2 linked regions of the Callithrix jacchus genome follow. Each later gene encodes a partner of the first gene's protein in a complex. Links are inferred from orthologs where the notes say so. Each region holds a gene or a part of one and is shown on either strand. Other genes may lie near its edges.

The links.
Region 2: the proteins of DENR (region 1) and MCTS1 are in contact, whole or in part, in a crystal structure (PDB 5ONS), measured with the Homo sapiens proteins. The link is inferred for Callithrix jacchus from reciprocal best matches to the Homo sapiens genes DENR and MCTS1. Residues at the interface, in NP_003668.2 of Homo sapiens: Ala25, Tyr27, Pro28, Leu29, Val31, Tyr33, Cys37, Ser38, Leu39, Pro40, Glu42, Tyr43, Glu45, Tyr46, Met47; in NP_054779.1 of Homo sapiens: Trp39, Gln42, Arg83, His86, Lys87, Tyr88, Pro89, Phe90, Lys99, Ile102, Lys103, Leu106, Ala136, Lys139, Gln140, His141, Ala142, Leu143, Leu170, Asn171, Trp175, Lys178.

What each region holds. Positions count from the first base shown.
Region 1 is NC_133510.1:125,922,704-125,927,935, forward strand, and holds the start of DENR (density-regulated protein), read left to right. Parts: upstream 1-1,697; 5' UTR 1,698-1,857; coding exon 1,858-1,950; intron 1,951-5,232. UniProt on the Homo sapiens protein: Translation regulator forming a complex with MCTS1 to promote translation reinitiation.
Region 2 is NC_133524.1:116,474,704-116,479,296, reverse strand, and holds part of MCTS1 (malignant T-cell-amplified sequence 1), read right to left. Parts: intron 535-4,593; 5' UTR 496-534; coding exon 311-495; exon of another isoform or gene 1-310. UniProt on the Homo sapiens protein: Translation regulator forming a complex with DENR to promote translation reinitiation.

The DNA.
Region 1 (5,232 bases):
GATGGCTCATGCCTGTAATCCCAGCACTTTGGAAGGCTGAAGCTGGAGGATCACCTGAGGTTGGGAGTTCAAGACCAGCCTGACCAACATGGAGAAACCCTGTCTCTACTAAAAATACAAAATTAGCCAGGTGTGGTGGCACATGCCTGTAATCCCAGCTACCCGGGAGGCTGAGGCAGGAGAATTACTTAAACCCGGGAGGCGGAGGTTGCAGTAAGCCGAGATCGCGCCATTGCACTGGGCAACAAGAGGAAAACTCCGTCTCAAAAAGAAAAAGTCTGCACACATAGAGAATCGTATTGATATACATGCATACATAAGCAATCAGGAATGCAGCGGTGGATTTCCAAATAGCTGGGAAACTAGTCAATATCAACAGAGAATTAATTGCAGCTCCTCTAGATGCAATCATTTGCATTTCTATGAACAAGAACTGTTTGCATTACTATCAGTTTTCTACAACTTTTAAAATTGTAAAATAGGGCCAGATATGGTTGCTCTCACCTATAATCCCAATGTTTTGGGAGGCTGAGGCAGGCAGATCACCTGAGTCAGGAGTTTGATACTAGTCTGGCCAACACAATAAAACTCCATCTCTACTAACTAAAAATACAAAAATTAGCCAGGTGTGGTGGTGCATGACTGTGATCCCAGCTACTCAATAGGCTGAGGCAGAAGAATTGCTTGAACCCAAGAGGTGGTGGAGGTTGCAGTGAATCGAGATGGTGCCACTGCACTCCAGCCTGGGCAACAGAGCAAGCAAGACTCCATCTCAGAAAAAAAAAAATTGGTAAAATAGCTAAAAGACAGTGAAAGATGGAGATGGCACTAAGGGATGTGTTAGGACAGCCAGTACCCTTTTTTGCCCATTTCAAAATCTTTCACAGTGCTTCCTGATGAAAGGGATGCCCTTCTCAGGAACTTCTACCTATGGCTCCTCGACAAGACTGTGCCCTTTTGTTGCAAGGGAAGCTGGGAAATTCAACATCTTCAGCTGGACACACTGTGTCAAGTAAAATGGAATTCTGTTAGTAAGAAAATTGGCCTCACCTACACACCCACTTGATGTGTTAAAGGTGCTAGATTATGTAATAATTTTTAGCATATGTGATTATGAGTCTTCCTGTGTGCACATCTGCTGTTTTTGATATCTTAGCATCACTCTCTTTTCTGGTAATAGTATCTCAATTTTCTTCTGGCACATATCCTATCACCAGTCTCCAAACTCAGGTCCAAGGACGGACACTTGACTCAGGGCTTGATTAGTCAGGATGGTTAATTTAAGAATGGATATAACTCGAGCCAGACTAATCAGATTCAACTTGGATTTTCATTGCACTAAAACTGTAACTTACACTAGAAAATAATAAGACATCTGAAGGATATTTAATCAATCTACTTGGTGCACAAGTAGATCCCTGTATCCTTTGCAGTAATTCCACTGCCTCTCCCAAGAGTCTGTGACCACTGGGATGTTTCCTTTTTCATACATCATTCCTCCTTTTAGTTCCTGAGAGCTGAAAGACTGTGGAGTGTGATAGGAAATGCAAATCTGGGTTTAAATGCCACTTGTGTCAGGTAGAGTCCACCCAGAAAACAGAACCCCATCCCAGTATGCAAAACAAAGAATTTAAGGCAGGGAATTGGTTACACAAGAATGGAACTGTTGAAAAGCTAAACAGGTGGTGAGACAACACAGAGATTAGCAACAGCAGGAAGCCATCACCGCCCCTAGGCTGGAGACTAGATCCCGAGAATGTGCTATGTTTTAGGAGTCCAGGGACTGTGATACTCTAACAATTCAGAGGGAGACCCAGTTACTGCCAGAAATGCAGCTCGAGGGGTGAGGAGGGGTAGATGGCAAGGAGGCCGGCTGGCATGGCTGTCTCCCATTGGCTGATCATAGCTAGAAGCACGGAACAAGGAAGCTTGAAGCAGCAGTCTGCAGAGGTAAGCAACCTTTCCATACAAAGTAGGGCAGGAAAAGCTTGAAGAGTGAAACTGAAGACACTGGTCTATTACGCAAAACTGGTCACCTGTCCATATTTCATCACATCCAAGATGCCATTGTTAGTTAGATGCTCCATAATTTGTGCATTACTATTATTATTATTTTTGAGACGGAGTTTCACTGTTGTTACCCAGGCTGGAGTGCAATGGCGCGATCTCGGCTCACCACAACCTCCGCCTTCTAGGTTCAAGCAATTCTCCTGCCTCAGCCTCCCGAGTAGCTGGGACTACAGGCACGCACCACCATGCCCAGCTAATTTTTGTATTTTTAGTAGAGACGGAATTTCACCTTGTTGACCAGGATGGTCTCGATCTCTTGACCTCGTGATCCATCTGCCTCGGCTTCCCAAAGTGCTGGGATTGTAGGCGTGAGCCACCACGCCTGGCCTTAATTTGAGCATTATTAAGAAAGAGAATTGCTGCCAACTAAAAGAGGACACCATGCTAAGATTCCATTCATTGCAATGCAACAGCAATGAGATGTTGATGGCTGGGCACAGTGGCTCATGCCTGCAATCCCAGCACTTTGGGACACCCAGGCGGATGGATCACCTGAGGTCAGGAGTCTGAGACCAGCCTGACCAACATGGAGAAACCCAGTCTCTACTAAAAATTCAAAATTAGCCAGGTGTAGTGGTGCATGCCTTTAATCCCAGCTTCACGGGAGGTTGAGGCAGGAGAATCACTTGAACTCCAGAGGTGGAGTTTGGGGTGAGCCGAAAGTGTGCCATTGTACTCCATCCTGGGCGACAAGAGCGAAACCCCACCTCAATTAAAAAAAAAAAAGAGAGAGAGAGAGAGAGAGAATGCAATGGTTACTGCCGAGTTTAAAATGAGGAAACTGAGGCCAGTATAAGAACAATTAGATGCCAATTTATTTATCTCCCGGAAGAGGTTCTGTGGTCCCGGGGAAAGGGGCCAGAGAAGTCACGCCTCGGATGCATGGGGTGGGCTGCCACTGAGTAAGGCTCAGCGGGATTTCTTCAATTTTCGCGGGTTCAGCTGTATAGTTTAGTGCTGAGGTTCAAATGCATGGCTTCGTGCTGAGAGTGCATCGTCTAGTGCTGAATATAGACCTGGGGGCAGAATGCAGAAGTGGGCGAGGGGAGCCCGCATGGAGGAGCCAGATGCTGAGTAATGTGTTCTGCCTGATAAACTGTTAGCAGGCATAGAGAGGGGTGGGTGTTGTTCATCCGGCTCTTAGCAAGGCTGGCCTTACAGAGAGAGAGATATTGAAATGTGAAAAATATGCACCTTAAGGTCAATAAAACTATTTGCTGTGTGATCTTAAGCACATGTGAACCTAATTCATGTCCCCCTTTGATTCTTGATTTCAACATCTGGAAATTAGGACAGTTATGCCTACTTCACAGGGTTTTTATTTTGTTTTTGTTTCTTTCTGAGACAAGGTCTCATTCTGTTGTCCAGGCTGGAGTGCAGTGGCACCATCGTAGCTCATTGTAGCCTTGACCTCCTGGGCTCAAGTGATCCTTCCACCTCAGCCTCCTGAGTAGCTTGGTCCACGGGTGTGCACCACCACACTTGGTATTTCTCTTTCTTTCTTCCCTTTCTTTTCTTTCTCTCTCTTTTCCCTCCCTCCCTCCCCCTTCCTTTGTTTTCTGTTTCTGTAGAGTTAGGTTCTCCCTATGTTGCCCAGGCTGGTCTCAGACTTCTGGACTGATACAATCCCACCTTGCCTCCCAAGGTGCTGGGAATACAGACATGAGCCGCTGCACCTGGCCCTTCACAGGGGTTTTGTAAGGATTAAGTCAGTTAATATGTCTAAGATTGTTAACCTTAGTGAGAATAGGAACTTTATCTCTTCGGTTCACTGTAGTATTCCTGGTGCCTAGCACAGTGCCTGGTACATAGTAGGAACCTAAGAAAATTCTGGGAGATGAATTTAGCTGGACTCCTTTCCCCCAAATGAGCACGGTTTCTGGCATATAGTGGGGAGTGGGTGTCAATACATGCAAGCTACTATTATTTTTTATTTTATTTTTATTTATTTATTTTTTTGAGATGGAGTTTCGCTCTTGTTACCCAGGCTGGAGTGCAATGGCGCGATCTCGGCTCACCACAACCTCCGCCTCCTGGGTTCAGGCAATTCTCCTACCTCAGCCTCCTGAGTAGCTGGGATCACAGGCACGTGCCACCGTGCCCAGCTAATTTTTTCTATTTTTAGTAGAAACGGGGTTTCACCATGTTGACCAGGATGGTCTCGATCTGTTGACCTCGGGATCCACCCGCCTTGGCCTCCCAAAGTGCTGGGATTACTGGTGTGAGCCACCGTGCCCGGCCCAGCTCCTATTATTATAATCAAACATTCTTTGGTGGAAACAAGATCTTTTCTTCTGGCCGGGCGCGGTGGCTCAAGCCTGTAATCCCACTTTGGGAGGCGGAGGTGGGTGGATCACGAGGTCAAGAGATCGAGACCATCCTGGTCAACAAGGTGAAACCCCGTCTCTACTAAAAATACAAAAAATTAGCTGGGCACGGTGGCGCATGCGTGTAATCCCAGCTACTCAGGAGGCTGAGGCAGGAGAATTGCCTGAACCCAGGAGGCGGAGGTTGCAGTGAGCCGAGATCGTGCCATTGCACTCCAGCCTGGGTAACAAGCGCGAAACTCCGACTCAGAAAAAAAAAAAAAGATCTTTCCTTCTTTCACTAGGGTAGTGTTGACTCTCCTGCGAGGGCGGATTTCCTCTTTTATTTAAGAAATATGTCGGGAGGAGGCTACATTCATGAATCTCTGGTGGAGAAGATTGTACCACATGGTTTAGTGCACACACAGATAAGTTGTAAACAGAAAATGAAAGTGGTAGTAGCAACAGTGGTGAATGAAGTTGGCAGGGAAGGAGGGAAATAAATAAAATGGATGTGAGTGAAGAATTAAGCAAAATAGAAAAGAACAATTATTTGCCACATCTATAGAGCATTTTTTGGGTCATCATTCCCCTAACCCTCACATCCTGGCAAGTGTTGTAGTGTTATTCTCGTTTCACAAGTGGGACTCAGGCTGAATATGAAGAGATTTTCTCAAGATGAAACAAGACTCACGGTATGTGGTTAACTCTACCAGGCTTCAGTCTCCTGAGAAAGCCCGAGATGGGCTCCAACTTAGAACACATAAAAGGAGAGTCAACACTACCCTAGTGAAAGAAGGAAAGATCTTTTTTTTTTTCTGAGTCGGAGTTTCGCGCTTGTTACCCAGGCTGGCAA
Region 2 (4,593 bases), on another chromosome or scaffold:
ATGTTAAAGTGCTGGTAGGATTGCCAGGTTTGACAAATGAAAATATAGGATGCCTACTTAATTTGAATTTCAGGTAAACAATGAATACTTGTTTTAGTGTAAGTATACCTCAACAATATTTTGGACATACTTACACTAAAAATATACAGTCCTCGTTTAGCTGAATTTAATTGCGCGTCCTGTTTTTTATCTGGTAACCCTTATTCACTGGCAACCATACGATGCCCCCATAGTTTTTTGTGGGTTTTTATTGAGACAGGGCCTCACTCTGCTGCCCAGGCTTGAATGCAGTGGTGCTGTCTTGGCTTACTGCAGTCTTGACTTCCTGGGCTCAAGGGATCCTTCCACTTCAGCCTCCCAAATACCGTGGACTACAGGCACACGCCACCATGCCCGTTTTTTGTTTTTTATTTTTATTTTTTGGTAGAGACAGGGTCTACGTTGACCAGGCTGGTTGCAAACTCCTGGGCTCAAGCAATCCTCCTGACTTGGCATCCCAAAGTGCTGGGGTTACAGGCGTCAATGACTGCCCTCCTGTAGAATAATTCCCAAAGAATTATTACAGAAGGTAATCTGATTAAAGAGATAAATAACTAAAGATACATGTTTTACTTATGTAATTTTTTAAAAAGAAAGCTGATAGAGAATATTTTGCCAGTCAAGGATTTTACTTTGTTTTTGGTTTTAGACACAGCATCTTACTACTCGACCCAACCTGGAGTGCAGTGGCATGATCATGTTTCATTGTAGCCACAACTTCCCAGTCTCAAGTGACCCTCCAGCCTCGGCCTCCCGAGTACAGGCATGCACCACCACAGGGCTGGTGGGAAGAACCCCTTATAAAACTACCCGATCTCGTAAGCACTCACTCACTATCATAAGAACAGCATACGGAAAACCACTTCCACCATCCAATCACCTCCCACCAAGTCTCTCCCCAGATATGTGGGGATTATGGGGATTACAATTCAAGATGAGATTTGGGTGGGAAAAAAATCCAAACCATAAAAGTCACCCTATTGCCCTATTGCACTGTCAAATAGAAGATCTCTTTTTTTTTTGAGACAGAGTTTCACTCTTGTTACCCAGGCTGGAGTGCAATGGCGCGATCTCGGCTCACAGAAACCTATGCCTCCTGGGTTCAGGCAATTCTGCCTCGGCCTCCTGAGTAGCTGGGATTACAGGCACGCGCCACCACGCCCGGCTAATTTTTTGTATTTTTAGTAGAGACGGGGTTTCACCATGTTGACCAGGATGGTCTCGATCTCTTGACCTAGTGATCCACCCTCCTCGGCCTCCCAAAGTGCTGGGATTACAGGCTTGAGCCACTGCGCCCAGCCCTAGAAGATCTTACTCATTCTATTTTTTTGTACCCATTACCCAACCCCACTTCTACTACCCAATCCCCCACTATCCTTCCCAGCATCTGGTAACCTTCTATTCTCTGTGTCCATGAGTTCAATTGTTCTGATATTTATATCCCACAAATAAGTAAGGACATGTGATGTTACTCTTTCAGGGCCTGCGTTATTTCACTTAACATAGTGATCTCCAGTTCCATCCATATTATTGCAAATGACAGGATCTCATTTTTTTTTTTTTTTGGCCAAATAGTACTCCATTGTGTATATGTACCACAGTTTCTTTATTCAAACATCTGTTGATGGATACTTAGGTTACTTCCAAATCTTAGCTGTTGTAAACGCTGCTGCAAGAAACGTAGGTGTGCAGATATCTCTCTGATAAACTCATTTCCTTTCTTTTGGGTATATACCCAGCAGTAGGATTGCTGGATCATATGGTAGCTCAATTTTAGTTTTCTGAGGAACCTCGAAACTGTGCTCCATAGTGGTTATACTAATTTACTTTCTCACCAACAGTGTACAAGTATTCCCTTTTGTCCACATCCTCACCAACATTTGTTATTGCCTGTCTTTTGGATATAAGTCATTTTAACTGGGGTGAGATGATATCTTGTAGTTTTAATTTGAATTTCTCTGATGATCAGTGATGCTAAGTACCTTTTCATATGCCTATTTGCCATTCGTGTCTTCTTTTGAGAAATGTCTATTCAAATATTTTGTCAATTTCTTGATCATATTATTATATTTTTGCCTATAGAGTTGTTTGAACTCCTTATGTATATATTCTGATTATTATTCCCTGGTCAGAGGGGTAGTTTGCAAATATTTTCTCCCATTCCGTGGGTTGTCTCTTCCCTTCGGTGATTGTATCCTTTGCTGTGCAGAAGCTTTTTAACTTTATGCAATCAAGTTTGCCCATGTTTGCTTTGGTTGTCTGTACTTGTTGGATATTGCTCAAGAAGTCATTGCCCAGACCAATGTCATGGAAGTTTTCCTCAATGTTTTCTTGCAGTAGTTTCACAGTTTGAGGTCTTCGATTTAAATCTTTAATCCATTTTATTTATTTATTTATTCTTTTTCTTTTTTCTTTTTAAAGATGGGATTTCACCATGTTGGTCAGGCTGGTCTCGAATTTCTGACCTCTAGTGATCCGCCCACCTTGGCCTCCCAAAGTGCTGAGATTACAGGTGTGAGCCACCACGCCTGGCCCTAATCCATTTTAAATTGACTTTTTTATACATCAAGAGATAGGGGTTTGGTTTCATTCTTTTGCATATGGATATGAAGTTTTCCCAGCACCATTTATTGAAGATACTATATTTCCCCACTATGTGTTCTTGGCAACTTTGTCAAAAAATGAGTTTGCTATAGGTGTGTGAATTTATTTCTGGGTTCTCTATTCTCTTCCATTGGTCTGTGTCTGTTTTTATGCCAGTACCGTGTTGTTTTCATTACTATAACTATGGAGTATAATCTGAAGTCGGGTAATGTGATTCCTCAAGTTTTGTTCTTTTGGCTTAGGATTAACTCTGGCTATTCTGGGTCTTTCGTGGTTACATATAAATTTTAGGATGGCCTTTTCTGTTTCTGTGAAGAATGTCATTGGTATTTTAATAGAGATTGCATTGAATCTGCTAATTGCTTTGGGTAGTATGGACATTTTAACAATATTGATTCTTCTGCTGGGCGTGGTGGCTCATGCCTGTAATCCCAGCATTTCGGGAGGCCAAGGCAGGTGGATCACGAGGTCAGGAGTTCGAGACCAGCCTGACCAACATGGTGAAACCCCTTCTCTACTAAATATACAAAAATTAGCAGGGCCTGGTGGTGCACACCTGTAATCCTAGCTACTCAAGAGGCTGAGGCAGGTGAATCACTTGAATCCAGGAGGCGGAGGTTGCAGTGAGCTCAGATTGTGCCACTGCACTCCAGCCTGGGTAACAGAAAGTCTGTCTCAAAAAAAAAAAAAGTTAAAAAAATAAAAATAAAAAAACAGTATTAGGCCAGGCGTGGTGGCCCATGCCTGTAATCCCAGCACTTTGGGAGGCTGAGGTGAGTGGATCACCTGAGGTCGGGAGTTTGAGACCAGACTGACCAACATGGTGAAACCCTGTCTTTAAAAAAAACATTTTTTTAAAATATTGATTCTTCCAATCCATGAACATGGAATCTTTTTCCATTTTTTTGGTGTCCTCTTCAATTTCTTCAGTGTATTTTACTTTTCTTTTCTTTTTTTTTTTTTTTTGAGATGGAATCTCACTTTGTCACCAAGGCTGGAGTGCAGTGGCATGATCTCAGCTCACTGCCACCTCCGTCTTCCAGGTTCAAGCAATTCTCCTGCCTCAGCTTCCTGAGTAGCTAAGATTACTTACAGGTGTGTGCCACCACACCTGGCTAATTTCTTTGTATTTTTAGTAGAGATGGGGTTTTACCACGTTGGCCAGGCTGGTCTCAAACTCCTGACCTTGTGATCTGCCTGCCTCAGACTCCCAAGGTGCTGGGATTACAGGTATGAGCCACTGCGCCTGGCCAGTGTATTTTACTTTTCATTATAGAGACATTTCACTTCTTTTGGTTAATTCCTAGGTATTTAATTTTATATGTAGCTCTTGTAAATGGGATTATTTTTTAAATTTCTTTTTCAGATTGTTCACCGTTGGTATATAGAAATGCCACTAATTTTTGTATGTTAATTTTGTATCCTACAATTCTAATAACTTTATCAGGTCTAATAGTTTTCTCTTCGAGTCTAGTTTATTCTAAATATAAGATCATATCATCAGCAAACGATGGTAATTTAACTGTTTCCTTTCCAAATTGGATGCCCTTTGTATCTTTCTCTTGTCTGATTGCTCTAGCCAGGACTTCCAAAATAACAATGATGATGGTGGGCATCCCTGTCATGTTTCAGATCTTAGAGGAAAGGCTTTCAGTTTTTCCCCATTCAGTATAATACTAGATGTAGGTCTATAATACATGGCTTTTATGTTAAGGTATGTTTTTTCTATCCCCTGATTTTGAGAGTTTTTATCATGAATAAATTTTGAATTTTATCAAGTGCTTTTTCAGCATCAACTGAAATAAAAGGTTTTTATTTCAAACTGAAACTGGAGATTGTTATCCTTCATTCTGTTAACAGGCTGTATCACATTGATTGATTTGTACATGTTAAGCCAACCTTGCATCCCAGGGATAAATCCCAATTGGTCATGATGAATGATCTTTTTAA